Rattus norvegicus: one gene and its partners. The protein of the gene in region 5 interacts with the protein of the main gene of each other region in a biochemical or structural test. Links are inferred from orthologs where the notes say so. Each region holds a gene or a part of one and is shown on either strand. Other genes may lie near its edges. The genes, in order: Lcp2, Erbb2, Sh3bp2, Pdgfrb, Plcg1, Itk and Sos1.

What was found.
Region 1: the proteins of Plcg1 (region 5) and Lcp2 form a complex in vitro, tested with the Homo sapiens proteins (2 studies listed by BioGRID). The link is inferred for Rattus norvegicus from reciprocal best matches to the Homo sapiens genes PLCG1 and LCP2.
Region 2: the proteins of Plcg1 (region 5) and Erbb2 form a complex in vitro, tested with the Homo sapiens proteins (2 studies listed by BioGRID and IntAct, with this or other methods). The link is inferred for Rattus norvegicus from reciprocal best matches to the Homo sapiens genes PLCG1 and ERBB2.
Region 3: the proteins of Plcg1 (region 5) and Sh3bp2 form a complex in vitro, tested with the Homo sapiens proteins (2 studies listed by BioGRID, with this or other methods). The link is inferred for Rattus norvegicus from reciprocal best matches to the Homo sapiens genes PLCG1 and SH3BP2.
Region 4: the proteins of Plcg1 (region 5) and Pdgfrb form a complex in vitro, tested with the Homo sapiens proteins (3 studies listed by BioGRID and IntAct, with this or other methods). The link is inferred for Rattus norvegicus from reciprocal best matches to the Homo sapiens genes PLCG1 and PDGFRB.
Region 6: the proteins of Plcg1 (region 5) and Itk form a complex in vitro, tested with the Homo sapiens proteins (2 studies listed by BioGRID, with this or other methods). The link is inferred for Rattus norvegicus from reciprocal best matches to the Homo sapiens genes PLCG1 and ITK.
Region 7: the proteins of Plcg1 (region 5) and Sos1 form a complex in vitro, tested with the Homo sapiens proteins (2 studies listed by BioGRID and IntAct, with this or other methods). The link is inferred for Rattus norvegicus from reciprocal best matches to the Homo sapiens genes PLCG1 and SOS1.

Annotation. Positions count from the first base shown.
Region 1 is NC_086028.1:19,145,367-19,149,769, forward strand, and holds the start of Lcp2 (lymphocyte cytosolic protein 2), read left to right. Parts: upstream 1-1,479; 5' UTR 1,480-1,639; coding exon 1,640-1,717; intron 1,718-4,403. UniProt on the Homo sapiens protein: Adapter protein primarily involved in signaling pathways within T-cells, as well as other immune cells such as platelets, mast cells, and natural killer (NK) cells.
Region 2 is NC_086028.1:83,924,306-83,928,104, reverse strand, and holds part of Erbb2 (receptor tyrosine-protein kinase erbB-2 precursor), read right to left. Parts: intron 3,776-3,799; coding exon 3,615-3,775; intron 2,460-3,614; coding exon 2,412-2,459; intron 1,349-2,411; coding exon 1,210-1,348; intron 1,122-1,209; coding exon 999-1,121; intron 863-998; coding exon 764-862; intron 325-763; coding exon 139-324; intron 3-138; coding exon 1-2. UniProt on the Homo sapiens protein: Protein tyrosine kinase that is part of several cell surface receptor complexes, but that apparently needs a coreceptor for ligand binding. Essential component of a neuregulin-receptor complex, although neuregulins do not interact with it alone.
Region 3 is NC_086032.1:80,434,890-80,439,356, forward strand, and holds the start of Sh3bp2 (SH3 domain-binding protein 2), read right to left. Parts: upstream 2,950-4,467; 5' UTR 2,904-2,949; coding exon 2,815-2,903; intron 1-2,814. UniProt on the Homo sapiens protein: Binds differentially to the SH3 domains of certain proteins of signal transduction pathways. Binds to phosphatidylinositols; linking the hemopoietic tyrosine kinase fes to the cytoplasmic membrane in a phosphorylation dependent mechanism.
Region 4 is NC_086036.1:56,804,680-56,808,478, reverse strand, and holds part of Pdgfrb (platelet-derived growth factor receptor beta precursor), read right to left. Parts: coding exon 3,798-3,799; intron 3,291-3,797; coding exon 3,185-3,290; intron 2,486-3,184; coding exon 2,253-2,485; intron 1,116-2,252; coding exon 956-1,115; 3' UTR 1-955. UniProt on the Homo sapiens protein: Tyrosine-protein kinase that acts as a cell-surface receptor for homodimeric PDGFB and PDGFD and for heterodimers formed by PDGFA and PDGFB, and plays an essential role in the regulation of embryonic development, cell proliferation, survival, differentiation, chemotaxis and migration.
Region 5 is NC_086021.1:169,832,520-169,836,318, reverse strand, and holds the end of Plcg1 (1-phosphatidylinositol 4,5-bisphosphate phosphodiesterase gamma-1), read right to left. Parts: coding exon 3,603-3,799; intron 3,526-3,602; coding exon 3,377-3,525; intron 2,481-3,376; coding exon 2,366-2,480; intron 2,257-2,365; coding exon 2,095-2,256; intron 2,024-2,094; coding exon of another isoform or gene 2,019-2,023; exon of another isoform or gene 1,999-2,018; coding exon 1,910-1,998; intron 1,817-1,909; coding exon 1,632-1,816; intron 1,462-1,631; coding exon 1,419-1,461; 3' UTR 279-1,418; downstream 1-278. UniProt on the Homo sapiens protein: Mediates the production of the second messenger molecules diacylglycerol (DAG) and inositol 1,4,5-trisphosphate (IP3). Plays an important role in the regulation of intracellular signaling cascades.
Region 6 is NC_086028.1:31,260,285-31,264,083, forward strand, and holds part of Itk (tyrosine-protein kinase ITK/TSK), read right to left. Parts: intron 3,728-3,799; coding exon 3,609-3,727; intron 776-3,608; coding exon 618-775; intron 1-617. UniProt on the Homo sapiens protein: Tyrosine kinase that plays an essential role in regulation of the adaptive immune response. Regulates the development, function and differentiation of conventional T-cells and nonconventional NKT-cells.
Region 7 is NC_086024.1:20,327,528-20,331,326, reverse strand, and holds part of Sos1 (son of sevenless homolog 1), read right to left. Parts: intron 3,746-3,799; coding exon 3,618-3,745; intron 2,872-3,617; coding exon 2,216-2,871; intron 1-2,215.

The DNA of each region.
Region 1 (4,403 bases), on a different chromosome or scaffold from region 5:
ATTGTGGAGGACATTCAGGGACTGGGACTGTCACTACATCTGCATCTCATTTAAGCTCACAATCAGTAGCTGAGACAGCTACTAGAGGCAGCAGGGCTTCCTGTAGTACATAGAAGAAGAGCATATATGACTAAAGCTACCCTGGACAACCCTTCAGGACAGCACCTCAGCTACCAATGGTGTATTATTCAAACATTGGAACAGAGAGCTATGCACACATGTACATTCCCATATGTGCAGTCATGTATGTACACATACATAAATGGAACACCGGCTAACCTGCATTTACGGGTCGCCTTATTGCACCAAAGTATGCTTTTAACCTCAGGTTGCACTCACTGCCAAGGATTGTTTCAGTCTGTGAGAAGTGTATAGAGTCTGAGGCTGGAGGAGGAAGCAACTGATCTCCATCTCCTATCTCCAGACAATATACTCTTTGTCTAGACATATGGTAGAATCAGTAGCAAATGCCATATATGGAAAAAACAATGGAAGACAGACTATAAGGCAAGGAAGCAGTGTATAGAAGGTGCGTCATCAATAGCAATGATTGTTTAAACTTTTAATGCTTACACTTGCCTAGCAAATGCACCAAAGTTTTATGTGTATAACCCTTCTGTTTCCTTTCCTTGCAGATATGGAAACCATCTACTTAGACTGTCATTCCATGCTCAAGACTACAGTGCACAATCATTCACATCAGAAATGGAGCTGGTCCCTGCCCTGTAGCAGCCTTCACCGTGACTCCTTGCTGCTAAGAACCCAGGCATCATAACACAAAGAAGCAACTGGAGGCCACTCAGCTTTCAATAAGAACAAACTGGTGGGGAAGGAGGTCAGAAAACATTGAAAGAACCATCTTCCTTCTCTTATAGTTCACTAATAGATGAAATTATAGATAGTTTTAGGAAACTGTCAAAAAGAGATTCTTATCTGCAAAGACTCAGCCAAGCATAAATATGGTGTCCAGCTTTGGGTGTCTGTAATTCTAATGGGAAAAAAACATACTTGAGTTTAAGTCCCCTTTGCTGTTCATCCTGCTTGGCTAGGGTGTCTGGGCCAGTGGAGAGTTACCATCTCAATCTCTCTCTCTCTCTCTCTCTCTCTCTCTCTCTCTCTCTCTCTCTCTCTCTCTCTGTGTGTGTGTGTGTGTGTGTGTGTGTATGTATCTATTTCTGTCTCGCTGTGTCTCTGTGTGTGTGTCTATCTCTGTTTCTGTCTCTGTCTCTCTGTGTCTCTGTCTCTATCTCTGTGTGTGTCTATCTCTGTCTGTTTCTGTCTCTCTGTCTCTGTCTCTGTCTCTCTGTCTCTCTCTCCTCTCTGTTTCTCTGTCTCTCTGCATTGTGAGTCCCCAGAACTGTCCTTCCTTGTTTACTTATTTAGAAGGCAGCAGAGGAAGTGGTAAAGGAAACTAGCTGAGTCGTTTTCTGAGAAGAGACCATATTTGTTCACAGGGGAAGCCGCTGCTTTTGGGGATCTGGCTACAGCAGAAAAGACTCCTGCTCAACAACGGTGTTCCTGACGGTAGCTGGAAATCAGAAGAACCAAGGACACCACTGAACTCTGGATCTGGGCTTTTTCTCTGTTCATGGCTGCAGCACCTCTCCCCAGTTTGTGAGCCTCTCCCTGAATAGCAGCCATGGCCTTGAAGAATGTCCCCTTTCGCTCAGAGGTCTTAGCCTGGAACCCAGACAACCTTGCTGATTATTTCAGGAAGGTGAGTCTTTCCCTCTTGTGCTTCTGGTTGGGCTGGTATGCCTTCAGTTGGGTGGGCAGAGACTGGAGGTGGAATCTGGATAGAATGTGGAAGGCGTACGGGATAGTTGTGGATACTAGGAGACAGACAGACATTGCTTTCTTGGTAATGTGTCCTGAAGAGAAAGATGAAGGAGGGGGCCCTCAGCTGCACAAGTCCCTTGTACATACCACCTGTGCATCCAGTGCTTTACAGACTGTGTCTTGCCAGACACAACCCACTGTCATGGGAGTTCAGTGTTATCTTATTAACAATCTACATTGACAATGTTGTGTCATAACGACATTATTATTTTGCTCAGCTGAAAAGTCAACTCAGGGAGTTTAAGTGGTTCAAAGCTCTTAGGTCCTCTGCAATCAGGTCGGATTGGAGTCATGCCTATCCAGCTTTAAAGCACATGCTCTGGATTGCAGAAGCATACTGTGGTAAAGACTACTCACTAGAAAGGGAGATGGGGAGTCCTGGGGTAGGAAAATGAACAGGCAAGTCAGGAGGGAAGGACAGAGAGCTGGATGAACACTAGTGTTTTTGACATCTAAGGTTCATGACCCTGGAAGAGGGCTAGAGTCTCTTTATTGGCCAGAGTCTCACTAGAGCTTTATGAGAATCCTGGAAAGCCGTTCAGAAAGCAGACATGAGCCCTAAGATAGTTAGGGACACAGAAGACAAGTTCAGCAGACTTAGAAGTCAGGCTGGACCAGAGTTCTATTGTCCTGATTTCCAGGATAGAAGGAGTCCTTGTTAACTGTTAATGGGGACCACATATCTGCATAGGCATATCCCAAGCCATTAAACTCCTCTTGGGCACCCATGCCAAAGAGGTAAGAGATCTTATGAAAGACATGAGCTTCTATTGTTCATATCCCTGTATGCTGTCTTCATATTCCACTAATATTCCAGGCAGTGATGAAGATGATGTTCTAAAGCTAAGATCACAGACGTCATCTACTTTGACTCCTATTTTTCTAAAGAATAGAGACCCAAGAGGATAGAATAGGCCCCTTGGGGCATATAGTCAAATCTGTAATCTTTACAGCGGTTCCTTCCCAACCTACAGTAGAAAATGTGAGCATTTTGTACTGGGTGTGGCATGGCAAGAACACTGTGCACAGATCCTGCTATTTGCCACCTTTTGTGAATCTCATTTTGGTTACTTTTCCCTCCAATAAGCTCATCACAAACTTTCCACACTGTGGGTGGAGATGTGATTAGGCAATTGACTTTTGAGGTATGTTTTTGAAATACTTTTCTCAACTAGGAACCAAGTAAGGTAGGGCAGAAAGGCACAGTTTGCTGTGGCTCAGTGGAGACCTGAATTAGCTCAGTAGAGCAGAGAGAATGGGGATTGAAAATTAAGGCAGGGAAGTCTGTGGAAGAATCAGGAAACACAAAGGGCCCCATATTCAAGTGTAACTAGGGGATTATGTAATTCCACAGTGCCACAGATACTGTGTGGGTCAAGTTCCCTTCTTCACAGGGCGGGCCTGTGGTAGAAAGCCACATCCTAGGGATAGGCTTTGTCTTCTGGAGGGAAAGAAACAAGGAAGCCAGGGGTAGGGCAATTGGCAATTCTAGAAGGACCATTTGCCTACCAGAGACACAGAGACCCTTCAGACATCCAGCTCATCAGTCCCTAGAGAAAGCACTCTGTGCAATGACCACAGAGTCACTTAAAGATGCTCTTTGGAGATGAGTTGTACATGTAAATGGTTGACCAGCAAGTGTGATTTCTACAGAAGGAGTAGGGTTGGGTCATTGTGACTTCTAGCCAGCTTTGGAGTCAGACATGTTTTGGATTAAATGTACTCTTTCCAGCTAGCTTAGGGACTTCTTTTTGTTGCCTCTCCTTTGTGTACCTGAACTTTCTAATCAGTGAAAGAGAGGCATGAACAGTAACTAACCAGATGAGATGGAGGTGGAAAGGAAATGTGTGGGAGGCATTGAGTTCTATGTTCTATTGTCCTGCTTTTATAACCACCCCCTGCTGGGGAAGCTCAGACAGCCTAGGGAGACTTTGTGTCACATTGCCTCCGATATGTGTGTCTTGCCCTGCATTTGGGATAGAAACCATGAGGATTAAGGCCATAGTCTACTCATTCTTAACTCCTCCAATTGGTTTGGTCCTGGTAGGAGAGCATTCCTGGGCCATTTAGATAGTCACTGGCTTATAAAGTCGTGTGTTCCAACCCTGTTGGGTTTCTACCTCACCATGTGACCTTAAGCCAGACCATTCTCTCTGAGCCTCAGTCACCATCACCTACAAAGCTGAGTAACCACTTGATCAGTGCCTATCAATCCTGAGTGCTAATCAAAATTATTGAGGTACTTGTTAAAAATACAAATTTTAGATCCCAAAACTCAGTTCTTATTGGACTACATCAAATTTCCAGGTTCAAGGCTAGAACTCTAGCTTTGGTTTAGAGTCAAAACCAGCACTCTACAGAACCAGCAATTCATCTGAGAGTGATCACAGCAAAATGAACTAAAGGAAGCTGGTAGTTCCAAGAGCCTGCTATACACCTGGCATGTGGGTCAAGGAGATGGCAGGGTATTGCAGATGCTATCTGCTCTGGACATTGACCTAGAAATCAGCTTCCTTAGTGCAATGCTCAGTCTGCCCTTCCAAACTAGGAGGTGACAACAATCG
Region 2 (3,799 bases), on a different chromosome or scaffold from region 5:
CCCTGGACAGAGGGCACCAGTGTGGATCGTGAGTCTAAATCTCACCTTAGGGACACTCCCACCTCATCCTGGCCCCAAATGAAGGCAGGGACTTGCACCCAAAGGATCTCCAGAGCCAGCAACCCCTAAAGCACATACCTTGGCAATCTGAACACACCAGTTGAGCAGGTCCTGGGAGCCTAGGCGACCTCGGTGTTCTCGGACATGGTCCAGAAGGCAGCCGTAGGGCATAAGCTGTGTCACCAGCTGTACTGTGGATGTCAGGCAGATGCCCAGGAGGCGGGACACATACGGAGAACCCACACCAGCCATCACATACGCTTCCTGCAGACGAGGGTACAAAGGGATACAGGAAGCCACCTACTTCCATCCACTCTCCTCTCCCAGAGACCCTCACCCATCCCTCACTGGCTACAACCAGAGCCTCCAGACTAGGAAGGTTAAGAGTCAAGGTTTAGGGGCTTCTATCTCAAACCCTGATGAGGAGAAAGCAGCCCAGATCTGCACCTGGGAGCTCCTCACATTCCCAAGGGGGAGCATGAAGGGGAGGGGCTTCTCACATTCCCAAAGGAGACAGTGAAGGAGGGGAAGGTCCTCACATTCCCAAGGGGGAGTGTGAAGGGGGATCACATTTCCAAGGGGGAGCCTGAAGGGGGTCTTCTCACATTCCCAAGGGAGGCCGGTGAAGGGCTGGGGTCCTCACAATCCCAAGGGAGAGGGTGAAAGGGAGGCTCCTCACATTCCCTAGAGAGGAGGGGCTTACATCTAGAATTTCTTTGTTGGCTTTAGGAGATGTGTTTTCTCTCAACACCTTGATAGCCACGGGGATTTTCACATTCTCCCCATCTGGGATCCAGATGCCCTGAGCAAAAAGAAAAGGACTTGAATCAGGCTCCCCAACAAGCCATTGAAGAGTAGCCTCCAGCTTGGCTCACTCCTGTCTCTTGACCCTGCCCCTCCCTTAGATCCACCCATGCCAGAACCTGGTCCCTCCTGACCTTGTAGACAGTGCCAAAAGCTCCTGATCCAAGCACCTTCACCTTCCTTAGCTCCGTCTCTTTTAGGATCCGCATCTGAGCCTGGTTGGGCATTGCTCCGCTGGGCGTCAGCGGCTCCACTAACTGAACAGAGAGGGTAGTAGGTAGGGTGAGTGCTGAGTATAAGCTGTAAGTCCGAGGGGGGCACTAGGAGGCCCTCACCATGCCTCACCTCAGTTTCCTGCAGCAGCCTACGCATCGTATACTTCCGGATCTTCTGTCTCCTTCGTTTGATTAGGATTCCAACGACCACCACTAAGATCAGGAACAGCAGGACGCCCACTACAGTTGCAATGATGAATGTCACCGGGCTGGAAACAGAGCCAGAGTCAGAGATTAGGGGCTAGTCTGAGGAGGAAGCTTGGAGAGACCCCCATGAAGGGACAGGAGTGTTCCTGGGCTCCAAAACTTCATGGGAGAAAAATGCATCAAAGGCCTTGTTAGTCTGCACTGTGCAGCCCACCCCCAGGGGCTTCTGCCACACAGGAAATAGGGTCTAGTAATATGTACCCCAAGACTCTCAGGTACTAGTCAAAGCATTCTTCAAGGAGCCTTGCAGTCGCAGGTTCCCATTACCAGGACCTTTATTTCTCCATGATATAATTGTCTATGATTCAGCTCATCTTGGGGCACACAGGGTCCCTGGATTCTCATGAGACCATTATTGGTTGGTATACTTAGTTTTGAGGCTACCTCACGAATAGCCCAGGCTGGCTTTGTATTCACAATCCATGTGCCTCAGTCTCCCAAGTGCTGGGGTTACAGGTGTCTGCCACATGTCCGGGCAGAACTCATTCTTGTCATCCTTGCTCCCTGAAACCCCATCTTGCTCTGCATGAGGCCTGTCGTTAGAGCCAGCATCTAATGTTTGCCTCACAGGCGAACAGCATACCCTAGACTGCTTTTCTCCCTTCTACCACTCTCCTCTGACAAACCAGAGTCCCATGGCCCAGGGGTCAAGAACTCTACCCTACCCTCCAGATCTGTGTATCTCACAACTTCAGTTTACACCCCTCTGCACTGGTGTGGCTCATAGCACACACCAGAGAGTTCTTAGCCACCCTCGATTTACATGACTCTCCACCTGAGGGCACAAAAAGCACAATACTCCATCCTGGAAGCTTCTAGCTGCCCAGCTAGAATACTCTCAGGCTCTGCACGCTGTCACTGCATCCCTAGGGAACTACATTTCCCAGCATCCCTTACCCCACAGCATCCTGAGCAGGACTATCCACTTGTTGAAACAAAAGTTAATAGAGAAAGAACGGGACTAAGGAGAGAGGCACATGCAGCATGCTGGTTAATCTCTCTTCATTACTGACCACCGAGGCCAATGAAGGAGTCGGGGGTGCGGGGGTACCTCTGGGGGCCCACCTGGCTCTCTGCTCTGCTGGGCAGCCTCGTTCATCCAGATCCACACAGCTGCAGAAGAGAGAGAGAGTGCCATCATCAAACCTGGGGACAGGCTCCGGGGGTGGGCGTGGCAGGATTACTCCATGTGACAAACAGAAACAGGGCTCCAGGTCACCAATTTGTTCTGTACCAGCCCACAAGAAGATTCCCTCTCCAGTCTGGGAGCCCACCTCCCCTGCATTGCTATAACTTCCTGTGCTGAGAGCAGGAAGCACTATTAGGGCGGGAAGGTCAGCTAGCCCCTCCACAAAAGAGGCCTAGGGTATATGGTACATGGAAGGAGAGTTTGAGGAGATCTATTAAACACACCGGGGCAGGGCTACAAGGAAAGGGTCTACAAGGTCCTGGCATCCATCTCCACCCACCAAGCAGTAAAATATCAACAGTTCTGCCTCAACAGTCGGTACTACCATGCCAACACCAGGTCACAAGAAGGCATGCACACAGACGCCCCTTTGTGTGTAGAGCTGAACAGCAATGGGCTGGTTTAAAAAAAAAAAAAATCAGGCCTTACTAGAAGAGGAGGAGCCTAGTCTTACTGCAACTTGATATGCCATCTGAGAGGAAATGGAGGAGGAATGGATTGGGGGTTGGAGGGGCTGAGGGGAGGGGAGGAGGGAAAGCGGTGGTCAGGATGAAATAAATAGGCAAGTGAGAGTGACATCCCTCAAACAGGGCCCGTCCTGAGCGACATGCTCTGAACTGAGACGTTTGTAGAGGGGTAGATGGAGATGCCCTTGTAGGAGAGGATGCGGAGCCAAGTTTCACCCCCCTGAAAGAGCAGCGAGTGATCTTAACCACCTCTCCAGACCCAAATGTGTTATTTTTGTAATTAGAAAAGAGATATAAGGGCTGGAGAGATGGCTCAGTGGTTAAGAGCACTGACTGCTCTTCCAGAGGTCCTGAGTTCAATTCCCAGCAACCACATGGTGGCTCACAACCATCTGTAAAGAGATCCGATGCCCTCTTCTGGTATGTCTAAAGAGAGGTGTAGTGTACTTATATATAATAAATGAATAAAAAAAAGAGAGAGAGATAAAAATTACACCTCAGTATAAGTTAAACCAGCCTCATATTATCGCACCCTTCTCGTAATACGCTCTAAAGAGGCTCCTGTCATGAAGACCCTCTCTTCTACTGAAGAGACTCACTCCCTCCACTCACGAGTGGGTGCAGTTGATGGGGCACGGCTGGCATATGCCCTCCTCATCCGGGTACTTCCAGATGGGCATGTAGGAGAGGTCCGGTTTCACACCACTGGGGCAGCGAGCCACACAGGAGGACGAGTCCTTGTAGTGGGCGCAGGCTGCACACTGATCAGCCTCCTGGACAGACAGGAAGGGTTTGTG
Region 3 (4,467 bases), on a different chromosome or scaffold from region 5:
CTCGGGTTCAATTCCTGGCACCCACACAAGAGCTCGCAACTGTCTGTAACTCCAGTTCCAGGGGACTTGACACCCTCACACAGACACCCAGGCAAATCACCAGTGTACATAGAATGAATAAGTCATTAAGAAAAGGAAGAAGTACAATGTGCCTGGGAGACCCAGGACCCTGAATCAAGGCAGGAGGCTGCAGCATTTCCCTGGGCTGAGGGGCTGTGAGGGAGGTGGAAGTGGGCATGAAAAATGCCCACAACCCCTGTGCACCCACACACGGGACCATCTCTAGCCCTTGAGTCCCCAAACATGGGGGGAGTACTCCAGAGGCACACTGGGGTACTTTACTCTCCGAGGAGGACTCTGAGGTGTGAAGAGGCCCCTCTCTGACTCTTCAGACTCCTCCATGTTTTTACCATGTCTGGGATACCAAGGGCATTTCGATCAATGATCTGCCATCCTCCCTGGTCTGTCTGTTCATCTGTCTGTCCGTCCCTTCCTAACAGTTTCATGCCCAGCTCCAAGAGTCCCTTTCCTATAAATCTTGCCTTTCCCAGGCTCTAGGTTCCCCACCTCCTCTGCCCAGGCTGCCCACTTCCTCTGCCAAGCAGGTTTATAAAAGAACCAGACCTGTCTGTGCCCAGGGAATCTGGAAGGACATGAACCAGGCAGATGATGGCAGGGCAAGAGGTCTGTCAGAGTCTCTGACCCTTGGTCCCCACCCTGGAGCTTTGAGGACAGAACCCACACTGGTCAGTCTTTGTGGACTCAGGTGTTTACCCACAGGACCAATACAAACAGGGACCTGGAAGCCTGCTCTGTGCCCCAGGCCTCTCCAGGCCTGGCCTTGCCCATCACAAGTCAAAATGGTCTGTTGTCCCTGTCTGACCAGGACACACACCCCCGTCACCTGAGTATCAGCTGCTTACCCCTAGCAGACTGTGGTCACTCATAACCACCCTCAGGTAGAAAGTGTTTGCCAACCCTCATGTTACAGAGGTAATGGAGGCTCGGCAAGAGGAAATGCCTGATGAATATCATGTAGATGGATTTGAACCCAAGCCCCCAGCCTGGGTTTATGTCCTTCCATCTGTCCTTCTATGATTAAAGCAGGTCATTTTGACTCACCGGGCTTCCTGGATTTCTGTAGGCCAACATATGCTCATGCACCCATATGGGGACAAAAGGATACTAGGGACTGACTCAGCACCCCACTTCCTCTGAGAAGGAAGTGAAAAGGAAGGGCCAAGGCAGTCCTGGAGTCTACCTTCCTTCCTTCTGTCTCTCCTAGCCCAGCCTCCTGAGCGGGCTTCCATATAACCCTGTAGGGGGCTCCCCACAAAGGCCAGTCTCCCTTTCAACTCCTCTCTTGCCAGGTGAATTTGCCCATCAGTTTTTGGTTCTTTTTTTTTTTTTTTTCGGAGCTGGGGACCGAACCCAGGGCCTTGCGCTTCCTAGGTAAGCGCTCTACCACTGAGCTAAATCCCCAGCCCCTGCCCATCAGTTTTTGTTTACCCTTTAGTTTGTCCTCTCTGCCAGGGTATGTCTCCACCCAGAACCCAGAGCCAGGTCCCAAAGAGGCAGAGAGGGCATGGAAAAGGAGGTGGACAGACCTGTGGTTCACATCTCCTTGGAGCCATCCCAGGCCCCAGGAGTGGAGAGCTTAATCTGGGGCCCTAAGCTGGGCTTCCTTGCCAGGGAAAGAACACAGTGGTCCAAAGAGACTGAAGCCGGTGAGCACAGCACTCACCTAGGTCACCCAGAGTTGACCTGAGTCCATTTTCTCACTCCCAGCCCAGCACCTAACTCCTTGACCTGTGCTGTGAAACAATTCTGTGCATCTCACCGATGATCCAGTAGGTGATATTTCCAGAGCCCCCTCAGGTGGGGTTTAGAATCTTTAACAGGGGTTGGGGATTTAGCTCAGTGGTAGAACGCTTGCCTAGCAAGCGCAAGGCCCTGGGTTCGGTCCCCAGCTCCAGGGGGGAAAAAAAAAGATTGAGCAATAGAATCCTTAACAGTCACATGTAGTAAGTCCCGAGGTCCCACACTGTGCCCAGCAGGGGTGGCTTCTCAGGGGCTCTTATTGGAGTCACCTGCCTAGGAGGCACAGAACTAGCAGTGTCAAGGAACGAGGAGAGAGAGAGAGAGAGAGAGAGAGAGAGAGAGAGAGAGAGAGAGAGAGAGAGAGAGAGAGAGAGAGAACAGGAGCTGCGTAGGGTCATGGGAGGTGGCAGAGGGAGTTGGCTCCAAGGGGGCTCTCAAACTGTTAACAGCCAAGGCACAGAGCCACAGAAGGGTGGAGGTGGAAACCCTCATGTCCGCTAACCTACAACGCTCTGAACAGTCTTCTATCTTTTCAGAGACTCACTCCTCCTCAAAAATCTCCAAACTCCCCACACCCAGTCATTCACTCGTCAGTGTGAATCAGCACTAACAGGTGGCTTTTCTCTTAAACTTCATGGAGCCTTTGTGGGAAGAAAAGTTTGGAGGGAATGAAAGCAAATTCACCTCCTAAGTCTTTGGAAGCCCCGCTAGATGAGCCCTGTAACCTGGGTCTAGCAACGGGTGCCAGGGGAGCCGGAGGGACTGGAGGGACCCAGGACACACGCGAAACAGCAGCCCTCTCTCTTAGACTGAACGCCCAGCCCTGAGCCCAGACTGCCGCGGTCCGCCCTAAGAACCCGACTCCCGGGGTTGGGGGTTTAGCTCAGTGGTAGAGCGCTTGCCTAGCAAGCGCAAGGCCCTGGGTTCGGTCCCCAGCTCTGAAAAAAAGAAAAGAGAAAAAAAAAAAAAGATTTATAAGAACCCGACTCCCACCTCACAGCGGGACACAGGTTCCAGGGACCCAGGCAGGTCTCTGAGACACGACTGTGCCGCGCATGTCCACGACCGGTCCCAAAACCCATGCAGTGCCTTACCCGCCGGTTCCCAGCCCACCGACTCTGCGTCCGGGAGGCGGATCCCTCCTCTGTTGCTTCGCTTTGCAGCCAGCTGGGCGGGCAGCAGGCACTCCGGTGCAGGCTCCGCCTCCAATCTGGCCCCGCCTCCCAGGTTCAGGCCCCGCCCTCGCACTAATCAATGAGCCCCACCCCTGGTCTAACTTCTCCACCCGTTCCCTCTCATGCTCTGGCAGCTTAACACACCTTTTCTGGTTGGTCAGAGATTGGTTGGTGGACTAAGGTGTCTGTAACCAGCAAGCAGTAGGTGCCCACTAGATGTAGGCAGGTGTCTGAGTGAGCAGAGAGTCTTCCTCTCTTTCTTTCTCTCTCTCTCTCTTACACACACACACACACACACACACACACACACACACACACACACCTTTGATCCGGTGGTCTCCTCGGTGGTATCCTCTCTGGGATAGCAGCATGTGTCTGCTGTGCTGGGTGGGGCTGACTCAAATCTAGGCCCCAGGGTTGGGGATTTAGCTCAGTGGTAGAGCGCTTGCCTAGGAAGCACAAGGCCCTGAGTTCGGTCCCCAGCTCCGGGGGGAAAAAAAAAATCTAGGCCCCAGGTAAGGGCACCTGTCACCTGTCCATTAACCCCCTCACAGTCAGGAAAGGTTTGCTGGGAACCTCTGGAATCCTACTAGAGACTTTTCAGCCACATCTAAAGGAAATATTGCCTGTAGGACATGGGCTGGAAATTCATGGCCAGCACTGGGTTGCTATGCTGAAGCCAAGGACTCAAGGCTTCCTGTGCACAGCCACTTAAGCCTTCTGCTAAGCCTATCTATAGGCCTGGGGGACCACACGCAAGGGGCAGGGACCTGGGGAGGGGTGACCACCTAAGAGGAGATGGCTTCCTAAGAGAGCCCTGGGGCCAGGCAGGGATATGAGTCTGGAGTGGAGTCAGGCTGGCAGAAGTCCCCAGGGGAACATATAGGTTTTAAACCTAGGGAACTATGGGCTAAGGAAGGGCTGGCTCTGGAGGGAGCTACCCAGATGGGAGGGGCCTAACTGCTATAGAGATAAGGATTACAATGGATGCTCCAGACCAGGCTGAGGCTGAAGGGGCTGAGTAGGAGTCCACCCGTGCTGAGCTGCTGGCGGGGACTCGGGACATCCATAGCTGCACAAGTGTGGGTTACACGTCCCTGTCCACGTCTGTTCCAGGGCTGCCCAGGTCCAAAGGACCCATACTTAGTTCTTTGATGTGAGGCATCCCCGCAGGCAGAGGGGTTAACTGGGTATAGGCTAGGAAATTAGTTCGGTCAAGCATTGAGCAAATATAGAGAGGCTGGTGCCCACTAGGAAAAGACCAGAAAACCTAGGGCTTGGGAAAGGAGGCAGTAAAAGACATGGGGGAAACTTCAGCCAACGAGGCACTGGGTTCTCCACTGGTGAAGAGGATGAAGAGAGGAGCAGGGAGCATGCCCAGAATCCTAACCCTTCAGCCCTCAGAGTTGACCCACACTCATTATTCCTGTCTCTGGCCCTAGGGTAACACCACTTGCCCACAGTTTAGCTT
Region 4 (3,799 bases), on a different chromosome or scaffold from region 5:
CAGACAAGAGCAAACTCCCAGAACACACTAGAATTGTACTAGTGACAGGGTACTCAGAGTCTGTGTGTCCAACTTGCTCATTTTTCAAAGGGGAAAGAAAACCGTTACCCAGAGAGAACAAGGAAGGCCCCCAAGGTCTCATAGCAGGTTCAGTGCAGAGCCAGGGCTCCTACTGGTGAGCATGTCAGGCAGATCCTTAGCATATCACAAGAGTGGACCATGGCCCTGCAGACTCTGGTGGGCAGGTCAAACTGAGAGTGACAAGGGACCAGTTCTAGGACTCGTGGGGCTAAAAGGAGTGGGTGCTTCCTGTGGCCAGGTGTACCCTGAGTGCCGTGGGTGGGGCTGCAGGCCAGAGCATTCTGTGCACAGCTCACCTTCACACTAACAGCATTCATTAAGCATGGCTGGCCCCAGTCCAGCTCGGGCCTGGGAAAGCTAAGACCATGGGAGGTGGGTTCTGAATGAAATGACCTTGTCCAAGGCTGGCTTCAGTTTTGTCGGTTTGGCCGGGAGCCGGGCACTGGGTCTTTGCCCGGTTCTTGGGAAGATCAAAGTAGAATGATCCAGCTGAGGGGCAGTTGCTACACAGGAGGATGTGAACACATCACCGTATACCCAAGGATTTCTACAGGAGTCCGGGCTCCGTACCTGTCCTGTAGCCAAGTGCAACTCTTCCTCTTATATTTGGGGAAACTGAGTCCTCTGGAGGAGCCCTGGTTCAGAATCCTATGACCTTTCAGAAGCAGAGGCTTAGTCCCCATAGTTCTCCTGCCTCCTAAGTGAAGCTGGTCCCTGGACCTTGGGTGGGGCAAACCAAGGGCTTTCCTCAAGGGGACAGCTTGTGGCAGTGTTGCTGCTGGGAGGCCAGGCCAGGCCAGGCCAGGCCAGGCCAAGAGGGTTCGGTGCTAGGAGGCAGATGGGAGTTTCTGGCAGGATGGATGGGAGTCAGTCCCTACAGGAAGCTGTCCTCTGCCTCAGCCAGAGGTCCTGGGCAGCCTGAATCCTGTGGCTGCTCCAGCTGTGCCTCAGGCTCTGCTTGCGGCTCTTCTTGGAGCTCCAGGGGGCTGTCGCAGGAGATGGTGGAAGAAGTGTTGACTTCATTCAAGGTGGAGCTAGAGGAAGGGAATAAGTCAGAAAGGAACCGGGGGAAACCCCAGGAAGATATATCAGCTTTGTCTAAGAGCTTTCTGTGCGTTGGCTTTACATCCTGACAGGCATGTACTACAAGGGGAGCGCAGCTCAGAGAGGTTATGTCATTGCTCCATGACATACCTCAGCTGAGGATGGGAGCTAGAACTTGAGAGCAGGGCTATCAGGCTCTCAGGCTTCTTTCTTATCCCCACTTGTCAGGTACTCATCTTTGCGCTCAGGGAAATGATAGTAGTCCCCCACCCCAGGACTTTTCACTGTTTCCTCCTTCCAGAAAAGGAAATTGAGGTTTGTGAAGGCAGAACATCTGGTCCGAGGTCACAAAACAAAGTGACCTCAGAGTTGACCCTGAACAGCCTAACACCACCCCTACCCACCCCCCAACCTCACACCTACCCTATGACCACCTGACAAGGCCTGCCTCATTAACAGAGAAATGCAGCCTTCAGGGCCTGCAAAGGCCTGCATGCACTATTAGTTCCTACTGAGAAACTGAGGCCCGCAGAGGCAAGGCCTGTCGAAGTTTTATAGTGACAGGCTAGAAACAGAAGCCAGCCTGTGTCTCCTACCACTCATCTGTCTTGATCTTGGGAGTCCCCTCTCTGGCTGAACATCAGTCCAGGAAAGCAATATGGCTCCCCTAGAGTCCACCCTTCAATGGACGCAACCCAAGGCAGACCATGGGTCTCTTCCTCCGTCTGAGTTCTAAGCTGAATTTGCAACTCCTCCATCTTCTATAAACAGGCTTCCCGGGCACGGTGTCAAGGGCAGCCATAACCCAAAGTAACAGCTGGGAAATGCTAAATGTTTCCTCTTTGTCCTCGGGACAAGCACAGGACCTAGAGAGGGTCCTGTGGTGGTGATACCCTTAAAAGGAAAAACAATCTTGCAAATGGAGTCTCAACAACGCCTTTCTTTCCAATCTGCCTTTCTTGCCTGCAGCTCTACGTGCAGAATAAACTTCAGTCTTACTGACCACTGGCAAGAGTTAGGCCTTACTCTAGCTAGCTGACAGTCCTTCTGTGGCAAGTCTGTGTACACATACATGAGCACACGCACTATACACATGAGTGTCCACGCCAAAGGGTCAGGGTGGCTACCTGGCAAGGCTGGGGGAACCCTCTAGGAGGCCCTCATCAGCAGCATCAGGCTTGGGGTCAGGCAAGGGGATGATGTAGTCATTGTCAGTCTCATTAGGCTGCACAGCAGTGTAGAGGACAGAGCTGGTATCCAGAGGGGATCGGAGGCTGTGGAGACCCGGCAAGCGGGCTTGGGACCTCAGGATGGCTGGATGGTCACTCCTCAGAAACTCCTCATCCACCTGCTGGTACTTCTGCACCGTAGGACAGGGAATGAAGAAAAGATGGGTGAGAGATGGGCAATGTCTTAGAGACCCTCCACCCCAGCTAGTGCTCAGAGAACGAGGTCCTGCACAAAGCTGCAATGGTGAGCTGCCCTCCTACCTGGCATCCCGAGACAAGTTCAGAGTCCCCTAGGGAAGGGCAGGGAGCTGGGCATGGTAGCCATGACCCTAACTTCCACCCCACTTCAGAGTAAATAGATATGGGCTCTCATGCCACTGTGGTTTCCCTGTTAGGGCTGGAGGTCAGTGTCCCTTGCAATGAAACAGTGGTGACTCCACTTTGTCTCCATCTCCCTAGGACCACCCCAGATGGGAAGACAAGCTGAGCTCAGGACAGACTGGTTCTGTCAGTCTTGCATGAACCTGGGACAAGGTTTAAGTAGTTGCAGTGAGGGTTCCAGAGAGCCTGGGGTTGCTCACACTTCTGAAGAAGGACCAATGTCTTCAGGGTACACAGGTTTGACAGACAGGATTACCTACGGCACCTCTCTGGGTCACATTAATCAGCTTCCTCATCTTGGTTCTTTTAAAATAAATAAGTTCACAGTTTCTAGGACCAGCAGAGAAACTGAGGCTCAGAGCGGGTGAAGGACATTTCTTCCCAAATCCCAGCCAAGTGCACAGGATTTGGCCAGCAACTGTCTTCTACCCTGCCTTATCCCCACATACCTTTTTATAGCCTTCACCCAGAAGCCTCTCCAGGAGCAGCACCAGCTGAGAGAAGGGGGGCCGAGTCTCAAACTTTTCTTCCCAGCATTTCTGCATGATCTCATAGCTGATGGAAGCAGAGAGAGAGAGAGAGAGAGAGAGAGAGAGAGAGAGAGAGAGAGAAAGAGAGAGAGAGAGAGAGAGGCTGAGGAGGGGCAGCCTGGTGGCTTATTGATCCCAGCTTCCCCCATCCATGACTCTGCACAGTCTAAGACATTGTGGAAATCACTGTAACCTGAATTTGACCAATAGGGATTTTCATCCTCCCAACTCAGGCCTGGTTCTGATGGTATGGGACCAAGCTGAGCCCTTAAAAGGCCAGCGCTGGTCTTTTACTGGAGCAATGCAAGCAGTAAGATGTCAGGGTGTTGCTAACGGCAGCCACATGTGCAGGGCAGGCTTGAATTTGAAGCCAGCATAGAGAAAGTGGAGACCTAGACTGGGAAAGAACTTCCTGATGGCACCATTTTGAACACCTTGATCCAGTTCTAGCAGGATTCGTCTAGCCTTTGAACAAGAGTTGCGATTCCCTGGAACCCCCAAGTTCCTCCCGAGTGCACAAGGTTCTACTCACAT
Region 5 (3,799 bases):
GTTAGAGGCGAACAAGAGCAGCACCTGGCAGCACATAAGCAAATGTGACTGCTCTGAAGTAGTTTCTGTGCAGTGGGAGCTGAGCTCGCTCCTTGGCGGGGGTGGACTTCAGCAACACCATTAGAAGGTGAGGGGGCAGAGGGGGCATCACATTTTAGAGCCACAGGCAAGAACTCTGTGACTTCCCAAGTCTCCAGGGAGATTATACCACACTTGCTTCAATTCCCAATCACCATGTTCTCCTGAGCCCCCCAAAACCAAACGAGTTAAAAGAAAAAGGACATGAGGATGATTTATTTGGCAGTCAGATCTTAAGAGGGCAGCAGAACTAGCAAATGGCCAACCCTGAGCCCAAATGTGGGCAGTGGGTTTGCGTGTGCTGAATGCTGGCTATGCTGAGGCACCTTTGCACCCACAGGCCTGGACCCCACCCTGTCCTCAGAGGTGAGGCTTACCTTCCCATCTCCTTTGCATCTTTTTACCAACCACACAGAGACTACCAAGCAGCAGCTTCATTTGGTGCCTACTGCCTGACTCCACTTACCCATGTCTCCATTCCTTTGGGAGAGCATAATGAGCCTTCCTTGCCATAAAAACAAAAACGCTCACCAGGGTAGACATCGATTTTCTCTCTTTCTGCCCCTCCACCCTTCTGGACAGTGCCCTCTTCCAGTAACAACACCCCATAGAGCTGCTGTTCCTAAAGGCTCTGTGCTGGGTCTTCCCTTCCAAGGTGAGGAGCAGGACAGAATAACTTAGTCACAATACCACTGAGAAGAAAAAAAAATAATACTGCTATTTATCATGATCCCCTGTATCTTTCAGGCTGGGTAGTATACCCAGCCGTGGGCAATGTGCCCTTGTGCTGTCTTCCTCCTCAGGCAGAGCAGAGCCTTCTCCTTACAGGCCCTGCATTCCTCTGACCTGGCTCCAGGGCCAAGCCTCAGGGCATCTACTCTTTCACCCTGACCAGCTGTGGTTTTAAAGCTACAGGACAATGTAAACTTTGTTCCCCTGGCCCAGCAAGGCTCTTCTTCCTCCTCCTCTTCCTCTTTCAGGAATGTGTCAGCAGCTCCTTGAAGCTTCCTATGCCACCAACTGAGGCAACTTCTCTTTCCAAGGGGCTTCAGCCCTAGTCCTGGCCCAAGATGGAGGGACCCACCTCCACATTCAGGGCCAGATGTGTGTGCTTAATGCGAGACACAGTACAGTTTTTTGCCTTCACCCAGAGCTGGGCATGGAGGCCCAAAACAGTACATCTCATTAATGGCTTGGTTTTGTCTAGCCTTCACCGCTGGAATCCAGGCTCCAGGCTGTGAGACCAGGAAGGCTTTACAGTAGACCGCTCCCAGAGAACCCAGTTCATGGCATTCCACAGGTGGCAGCGCCTGCTGCTCTCCAACAAGGTAGGGGCATGACTAGAGGCGGTTGTCTCCATTGACCCGAGTCCTTCTTGGGGCCCTGAACAGAAGTGAAGTGTCCTTATTGGCCTTGCAGCCAGACAGGACAACCCAAAAGCAGTTACTGCTTTTCCACATAGGAGGAAGCCGTCAAAGGACTGCTGTTCTTTCTGGCCCCAGCACCCTTCCTCCAAGGCCCCAAACTGGCCAGTTTCCCTGTCATTCCCTCACCTTCGTTCCCGACTGTCAAAATGGTCTGCGAGATGCTCCTGCGAGATGCGGAAGTCTTCAAATGGCTGCTGGTATCTGGCTTCAAAGGACCCTTCCCGGGCCCGGACATGGAACAGCTGGCTGGAGGCATCTGAGGCCCGTTCCCTTAGGGATGTACCACTGAAAGGGCTGAGGTCACCATTCTCCTGCTCGGCAAGGGAAGTGCACAAAAGCTGAGGTGTCTTCTGTATCTCAGGGGCTAGGACTGAGCTCTCTGCTCACTCTGCTGTAGCTATTACCTTAGCAGGGAAAATGTCAATCTTGATGAGCAGGGAGGCCAACTCCAGGTCTTCACTGTAGTTGTTCTTCAAAGGCACTGCTCTGTATCCTAGGAGAAATACCTGGCTCTCAGCCTAACAGGTGTCACGCAAGTGGATAAGCCCCACCCTGACACCAAGATGTTACGTTAAGGAAGATTCCTCACCTGTCTTCAGGCCTTTTACTGGGAAAGTAGCCTGAGCCAAGAAGTTCTGGTCACTAAACATGTCTTCCTCATACACCACAAAGCGCAGAAAGGCAAACTCTGGGTTACTGATCTGGAAGTGGAAGGGCTTTGCAGGCCACACAGGGTTCAGTCCATTGTCCACTGTGAAAGCAAGGGCAAAAGCTGAGGCCACATCAAGGGGGTGTGATGACTGGTAGAGAGGTCCGTACACCCCAGGAAAATAACTGGTAATGGGGGACAACCGACTGACCTACAAACTCTGTCTTCTGCTTGGTGCTGTCGTACTCTGCCCCAGCCACTTCAATCTCCACGAAAGGACACACAATACCCCGGCCATTCTTCGGCAGATGCCTGGCCCCCAGCACCTGTGAGGCAGACAGGCAGAGACGGGGTGAGGACTGTTGACCCCAACATCCTCACAGCAGAGGCTTGAGGAGCACATCAAGGAGGAAAATGTGCCATGGAGGCAGTATGCCCCCTGCTGGGCCCTGAAGGTGCTGGCCATTAGGCCCCTCACTGTTCCACTCCAGAGCAAGCTGTTGACTGTGAAAACCTGAGCTCTAGCTAAGGGTCATACGCACTTTGCAGTCCATTTCACATTAAATCCATGTCTGTTGCAATGTGAGAATCTTTTAATTTATTCCACTTTAGGAGAAAAGTCTGGGAAGAAGCAGTCCACCCGTCCCCCTGTGCTCCTGCTGGCCACAGGCTAGCCTTATTTTTTCCAGACTCTGTTGAAGCCACCTCTGCTGATTCCCACAGCAAGGGCTAGGCTGACCTTGATCATAGCTCTTCACCAGACATGTACTGGGGAGCTCTATTCTAGGAACTGGTTAAGGAAACAGGCTGCTTGGCCATGCTCTAGCAAGCCCAGGTCTGGCTTGGTTCTGCAGACAGCAGCCTGGCTCATTGCAGACCCTTTAGCCTGATTTGTGCCACTCTGACCAGGTTCCTCCTGCCAGGTAGTGACTTTCACAGGTTAGGCTTAGGTTGACAGCCTAACTCTTTTGTGCCCAAACTGGCCATGATCAGCCATGCTACCTTTGGGATCCCAACCCTCACAAAGCTCGTAGCTCCCCATCTCAGATGGTTCTACTTCAAGCTCGAGAACAGTTCAAGATAAGTTCCCTTCCCCCACACAGGACAGCACTGCAGCTCACCTCTGGTGCTGCCCTCTCCCACTTGTGCTGATCCACCTGGTCAATATCAATATTCTTCATAGCCCTCTCCCGCCCTGAGGCACCCAGATAAATATACCCACCTCAATGCAAATGACACAGGGCTCCAGACCTCGGAGACTGCTCTTATCAAAGGGGTCAAAGGCTTCATCTCTCATGGTGCTTGGCTGCAGCACATAGCCACAGTGTCCACCAGCCATGAAGAGGGCCTGGTTCATCTGCATAGGCTTGTCTGGAAGAGTGGGATTACAGTACATTCTAGCGGAACTGCCCTAAGTGTCTCTCCCCACCCACAGAGGATCCCCTCACCTGGGGTCTGAAAATTGAGAGCTACAAGCTGGCTGCCACAGATCCACATGGGCAGAGGGTCATAATTGGAGGAGTCCAGCCTCTGACCCTTAGGGTAGATGCGAGAGAGCTGCAGCCGGTTGTACTGGAGGAACTTCTTGCCTTTGGCCTTGTTCACATACTTCTCAGCCTTGGTTTCCGGAAAGGAGGACATGTCC
Region 6 (3,799 bases), on a different chromosome or scaffold from region 5:
GCCTGGTCCACACAGTGAGTTCCAGGAAAGCTGGGTCTATGCAGTACCAACCAAACCAACAAACCAATAAAAACAAAAGCACCAGAATCCATCATTACTGCTAAGAATGGGCAAAAGACTTAGGAACACAACCCGACAGCGTTTAGCTTCTTAAATCAACTAAACAGTGTTAACATATGTTCCAGCAGCCACTCCTAGGCATTTACCCAACCGAGTTGAAAATTTATGTCCGTTAGATTCACTTTAATAGATTCACATGCAGTAAATGCTTATAGCAGGTTTTCTCATAATTGCTGGAAACTGAGAGCTCCTTTTAGTAAGCACATGAATAAACCAACTATGGTATGTCCATACAAATGGAGTACTACTCAACAATAAAAAAGAAATAAACAATAAAAGCCAAGGAACCACATTGATAACCACACACTGAAAGATCATACTGTACTCCCTATGTACGTATAGTTAAAACATGATTATATGCAGAAACATGTACAAAGCCCTGCCTGTTTATTATGGTCTTCCTTGATCCCCATCCTTGTAGGTCATGTCCTTTCTCGCTTGATGCGGACCCTGAAAGTGTGTGTTACGATCCAGGGGGAATCTCCCTGTGTACTGACCTCTTTCCAGCAGTGATTCATGACCTGGTAGACATGAGGGGAGGCCAGGCGGGGCTTGTATAACCGAAAGCCAGTGCTGATGTCTTCCACGACCTCTGAATTGCTTCGGTTTTCATATGGGATTTTGCCTTCGCTGAAGACTTCCCACATCAGTACACCTAGAAGCAGCAGTGAACAGAAAAACAGCTAGGGGGAAGGTGCACATGTACCAGAGAGACTCACGCCCACAAGCAACAGGGCCCTTGGAGTGAGTATTAAGTCTACCCCTCTAGACGTCTGGAAGTGCAGTATCAGGCCTTCCCTTAATTTTTTTCATTGTTCTATTTTAAAATATTATTTTACTCTCTCTCTCTCTCTCTCTCTCTCTCTCTCTGTGTGTGTGTGTGTGTGTGTGTGTGTGTGTGTGTGTGTATGAATGATCGCCATGTGTGTGCATGTGCTTGAGGAGTCTAGAAAAGGCCACTAGTTCTTCTGGAGAGATTCTGAGGTATATACAAAGCAAATGGATTTATGTCTAGACTTCAGTTTCATTCCCAAGCTCTCTTGCTCTCTCTCTCTCCTACCCCACACCGTAGCTATAAATACCTTTACGTATATATACATGCAAATATTCCAAACCTAAAGTCTAAACCATTTGTGGTGTCAGGCATTTCATAGACAGAATCTTAACTTGTTTGTAGACACTGAGGGGAAAGCATCTTCCCACAGTATGTTTCTTCACTCCTTCATCCATATACAAGCTGCCTCAGCTTTGTCTTTCTCGTGTACTGACAGATCACAGACTCAGAAAAAAAATGGAGGTTGCTGGTGTCCTGACCAGAGGGGTAAAACTACAGGACTGGAGGATGGAGTTCCCCAAAGTTTGATTCTCAAATACCCACTAAGAGCCAGCTCCTACACTTGTTCGAATGGGAGACTTCTGAACCTCACCCTAATACCCTCCTCCTGGGGTCACTAACCTGCAGGCTCCTCTGAGATGCCCAAAGACCTGGAAATCAGAATCTGACTGTGAGGAAGACTGTTCAGTGTCCCAAGGTGCTAGGATTTCTAGTAAGGTGTCTTCTGAAGTGAGTTGTTGGGGCTACTGGGTATTGACTGCTTTAACGTGAACCCTCTGAGGCATGAAGAGGCAGAGTTTATAGAGGCTGCTGACTCGCTCAATAAAAGCAATGGGATAAATCACACAGACTGCGTTTATGACAAAACCCACAAGGCTGAGCCAGGCAGGAGGCTCGTAGCCTGCAGGTTGCTGTGGTTTGCACATACTACTGTCTGTCTTTCTCTTTTCTTCCTCTTTCTGTCGGTCCACCTGTCTATCTTCCCATCTGCCTGTCCGCCTATCTGTCTTTTTTCTCTGAGACAGGATTTCTCTGTGTAAAAGCCCTGGCTGTCCTGGAACTCTCTCTGTAGACCATGCTGCCCTGGAACTCAGAGATCTGCCTCTGCCTCCCCCCGTGTTATGCGCCAGTGTGCCCTGCTGCTCCTACCTGTTTCTGTTCTACCCCTGTCTCTCAACCTCATTCCTGGACTCTTTTCAAATCACACATCTCAGGAAGGGATGCACTTTAGACTTCTGGAAAACCCAGTAGACTATCCTCTGGTTGACACGCCAAGACTTCCCAAACTCCCTTCTGCAATGTGCTGGTGAAAGTGCGTATAGCTCACACTCTAAACATCTTTGTTGGGTGCCACCTTGGCAGTGTCCGTGGCTCTATAACCCACAGAGAGATAGCCACGAGTTGTCTCTGGCCTTCTTCTATACTTGTGGACAGTTGTGCAAGGAAGACACCAGAACAATTGCCTCCAAATTCATCCTGTAACTTCTACCCTGTTAACAGTAACAGCCAAGCCCAGAGGTGTGTGTGTGTGTGTGTGTGTGTGTGTGTGTGTGTGTGTGTGTGTGTTGAACTAAGGAACAGAGCAGAAAGATTCATAATTAACAAGTTCTGGACTCGTGGGAATAGGGCATTCTAAAGTGAAGATCGCAGCACCGATTCTTACCCTGGGAGACTTGATCTCCCATGCTCGTGCCACTGAGTTTGTGCCCTGGAAAACCTTTCACATAGAATAGCAAGGTCAACCCAAAGCAGTTTCTCTCCGAAGTGCCATCTGTACAGTCATCATATTGGAGCGGCTATTTGGTACACTTTCATGCACACTGTTTGTGTGCACAAATTGTGAGTTAGACTGACGTCAAACTCAGCAAGTTATTTAACCTTTCCCACATGTTAATGTCATTCATTCCCACCAACTGTTACTGCTGTCTTTGTTCTCCCTGTAACTCAGGAACTCTTGCTATCTCTGGATGTAGTTGAGTTTTCATACTTTCTCGTCCCTGCCAGGGACACAGCTTCATGAATATTTGAATGGAGACATTTGTCCAAGAGTTACTTCTAGAAGGCCTTTCCAGAGCGTACTGGGTAAAATGGACCCTTCCCCCGCCCTAAATACTCTCTACCAATGCTGCTTTCCTTGAGTCACAGCACTCACGGACCCAAACTCCACTTCAGTGACAGTCATCTGTCTCCTCTCCCCAAAAGTTTAGCTTCAAGAGGATAGAAGTCTCTTCTGCCCTGTGCCCTCCTGCTTCTCAGCCCCTGAGTAGCCCAGGAGTGTAACAGACACTCAGGAAACCATGGTGAAGTGACAAGAGCTTACGGAGGATTGAGTATGGGAATGTTGGACCCAGTAAGGTCCTGCTTTCAGCTTCATATTCCAATCTCCCGACAACTCCAGCTTTCCAGCTCACAGTAGCTACCCCAAGTCTCCTTTTCCATTATTATTTTTAATTTCTTAGCCGTTCTAAAGATATCTAGAGATAAAGGCAGCAAAAAGAGGCTGCTCGGACATTTCAGGCTGTTCTCACGCAGGCCCTCGTGGGTTCTTTCTCCACACAGGGGTCAGAACAAAGTAGACTTGTTTGCATTTGAGAAGGAAACAGCTGGTGCACAGTTCCAGATCACACAGGGGCGGGCTCAGGGTGAAACTTACCAAATGACCACACATCTGACTTGCTGCTGTAGCGGCTGAAGGAGAACACTTCTGGGGATGCCCACTTCACTGGGAATTTGGTGCCCGTGGAGCTGGTATATTGATCATCAAGGACAAACCTGGGAAGAGGCGAGGAAGAGGTCAGAACAGTGCAGGGCTGAGTCTCCTTCCTGACGGCAGCTGATCCCACA
Region 7 (3,799 bases), on a different chromosome or scaffold from region 5:
TGGAAAATATTACTTTATGCAAAAGCTAAAAATTGACAGCAGTGCAAATCATTAGGTATGTATGATGACATCATGAGAAAAGTAGCTTTGCACACATAAGGAGTAAGACTGCTGGACCACATAAAACTTACGACCTTACTGAAGTATCCTTAATGTATACTCATTCAAAATAAACAAACAAACAAGTGAGTTAGTTGTAGTTTAGAAGTGCTAATTATGAATTATTTCTGTCAAATACAGTAGCTTAAAAATTACAGAAATGTTTTAGAAGCAAATTGTAAATTTTACAATATATAAGTAATTAATAAATTTAATTTTTAATAGAAAAAAGAACACCTTGCTGCACTGAGGTAAAATTCATAGGATGAGTTACTCTAAACACTCTAAGGTTACTCAGGGCCAAGTCAGTCCCTGCAACTGCAGGGCTGCTGTCAATCCACAGGCTCATTTCTTTTAATTGAACTTGTATGATTTTTCCTTTGTTCTTTTCATAAAAATTAAGCAAACCATATGAGGATAAAGCAAACAGGTTTTAAATTCACAAGGATTTACAAACAAAGGCAACGTAGCAGGATAGACAACCTGACCTTTTATTGTTGAGAAATTACTTGAAAACCATAGCAAAGTACTGTTATGTGTTCTGATTTTAAACAGTGTAGGGAAGGCTGATGGTTGTGTGGATAGCTAGTTCATAGTTACTAAAGACTGTAGCTCTTTAAACAGCTTTGTATGTAACAAGAAAGGTAATCTATTTACCTTTTATGTAACTACTGGGCAGCTTCCATTTTCTTTTAAAAATTTTAATACTTCTTCATTCTTGAGTAATAAACACCCTGACTATAGTCCCTGGGTGAGAGTTTATAGTAACCCAGAACCCCAGACGAGGCTTCGCAGACTGCTCAACGTGCCCCAGCCCCTGTGCGCGACCACTGAAAATGTAAGTCAGAGAGGCCGAGTGAGTCACTGTAAGAACTCACAACTCACCTTTGGAAAACACTGTCGATGTCCAAAAGCTAAACAAAACTAAACTCTGGCTTATAGACCAGAGATGTGTAGATAATGGCAGCTACATTCAAAAGTGGTTTTAAATCACTAATAAAAAATAGTGCTCAAGTTTACCTGCTCTCCCTTTGGTAATTCCAACCATATGAAGCTCTTGTTATTGAAGGGAAGGCCTTGTTAAATGACACTGTTTACAAAGTGGGAAAACTAATGGCTGTTTTTAAAAGGCCAATCTCACTAGCACCAGAATAGATTCCAAAGGAAACAGAACTCACTTAGAGGACATTTTAAAAGCGGGAAAATAAATATTTTCCGCAGAAACTTACACTTCCTAAAAATAGGACTGTATTTAAATGAGAAGAATGGGGATAGAGGTTAAATTTCACATTCTAGTATCTAAGAATACCATATTATAATTTTAAACACACATTTCTTTTAAAGAAAAGAGTTTGAAAATTTCCATCTAAACTCAGAAATAGCTTTCACATCCAGTGTTTCGTGTGTGCTTTCTGACAACACACTGTGGTATACATTTGATGTTAATGTTTGAGAAGAAGACTATGGTTCTGGGATGTAACGGGAGCCTGATAGGTGACAGAGCAAAGTGTGAGCTCAGTGCTATCTGCTCCACCCCAATTCTGAGATGACAGTTATCAAACTCCCCACTATGTGTCAGACCATGTAAGATGGCGTAGTATGCCCTTTACCTCTCAACCACTGTATTTAATTCTACCTAGCATCCTTCTAGGTTTTCTCTAAAACCTGTTAAGGTAACCGTTTGCATCAGTAACATTAAGAACAAAATACTGACAATGTGAATGGCCTCCAGGCCTCCCCAAAGGATGGAGGGATGGAGAGTAAGAAATACGTGTTTCTGCCACCAGCACAATTTTGATGATGGGTAAATATTTGATGTTTTAGTCTGTAGCCCAGTTATAAAATAAGAAAAGAAAATACAGGGGTGGAAACCTTTAGACAATCACATTGATGCTTAGTTTTCTTTCTACTGCTTTTTACTGGGCAACACCAGACAAGTGACCATTTCTCTTTTGTAAATATGATAGAAAAGGTAAAAGCTTCAAAGAGAACAGAGTGAAGGTTTAGCCGACTCCTCTACGTGAGAAGGATTTGCTTGCTGTTAGTTTTCTACCTCAGGCACAGTGACCCACCCGTGGAGTCAGTCAGTCAGGAAGCAGCCTCCCCCGAGTCTCACCTGCGTACATGTGGTACGTGAGCCTCTCAATCAGCTTAACCACTGTCCCTGCCTTGATGATGGGGATGCCAGCCTTGGGCTGCACGTTCTCTTCAAACAGAATGTTCTCCTCAGAGTCGGGCTCTGCAAACCTGTACACGTCAGCACTCGGCAGCCTCATGTGCTCCTCCTTCTCCTCCTGCAGCATTGTAACGTCCAGCATTCTCTCCAGCGTGCTGCGGTACTGCAGGGATATCAGGGCTGCCATCCAGTTATTCTTCTCTTCAGCTGACTTGGCAGAAAATATAACACTATTTCCATCCTTCAGAATTATTTCGAAAGCGTGCTTGTATTCACTGGTGTCATCCTTATCGTTAATCTGTACCTTTCGCATAAAAAACTTTTCTTTAAGCCGATATTCTGCATTGCTAGCACCAGGAAGTCTTGGCTGCCCATGATTTGATTTACAGCAAATCATTAAGCCATCGAAGAGAAATATGTGTCTCTCGTGTTTGGCTCCTACACGTGTAAGAGTTCCTTCCATTATAAACTCATTGCAGCATTGTCCAATGTCTTTCCCCTCCCAACCATCAATGTTCTTCTGAATCTCATTCATCTTCTTGATGGCCAGTTGTTTCCCCTTCATTTGCTGGCTGTAAAACCGACATGCAGACTCACTGGGGTAAAGGAAAAGATGCTATTAGTACACAGAAGACAGACTTTATATAGAGTTCATGCAGATAAGGTGGCAGGGTAAAAGACAACTTAGAACATCACTGACATGTGTTTACTAATTCCCCAAATAATACATGTAATTACGCACCTATAAAAGCTAAAACAGCACAGAATTTTTCAGAGTTATAAAAAGAATAGTGATGTTGAACTATATAAAGTCAGGTACAAAACAATTATCTCTGCCTTGAATATTAAACACTTAGAAAGATAACTATAAAAAAGTAGCCCAACACAGTAAAAAAAAAATGAGATATGAAAGCAAATTGTAAGTGTTTTTAAATGCACAAGACCCAGAGATAGAAGCACATGTTACAAGGGGAAAGCAGATCTGCTACCTGCATCAATGTCTGAGTTATACAATCCCCAAACTAACCAAGCCTACGAACCTGCCTCTGACATAACAATGACGCCGGCAGATCTGCCCGGGACACTGCTCTGTCCCCTTCAGCTTACCAGCCGCTCCTCGGGAGGCCTTGTCTGGGAGCAAGCAGGGAAAATGCACAAATATGAAAGGTTTTTCAAACAATAACAAATTCTCCTGGCTTTGATGTCACTTCCTCTGAGAGACCAAGCTTGTCACTAACACCGTTTTCTTTATTGTTTACTCAAGGAGGGAAGCTAAGGCCCCTGAATTTGTACCACAACTTTCAGGATAGAAAGGAAGAAACTTTAAAATGGGAATATTTACCTCAGTCTTCGTTTTGCAAGATTTTTGGAGCAAATTTTTTCCATGCCACTTTGGACATTAAGCAGGGCTGTTATTGCTTGTTTCATACACTCCTTATCTTCTTGATCTTCGCTCTTTTCTTCTAACTGCTGTGGAAAGGGCAGAAGGAGAACCTCACTTTATTGAAGGATAAATAATGCTCA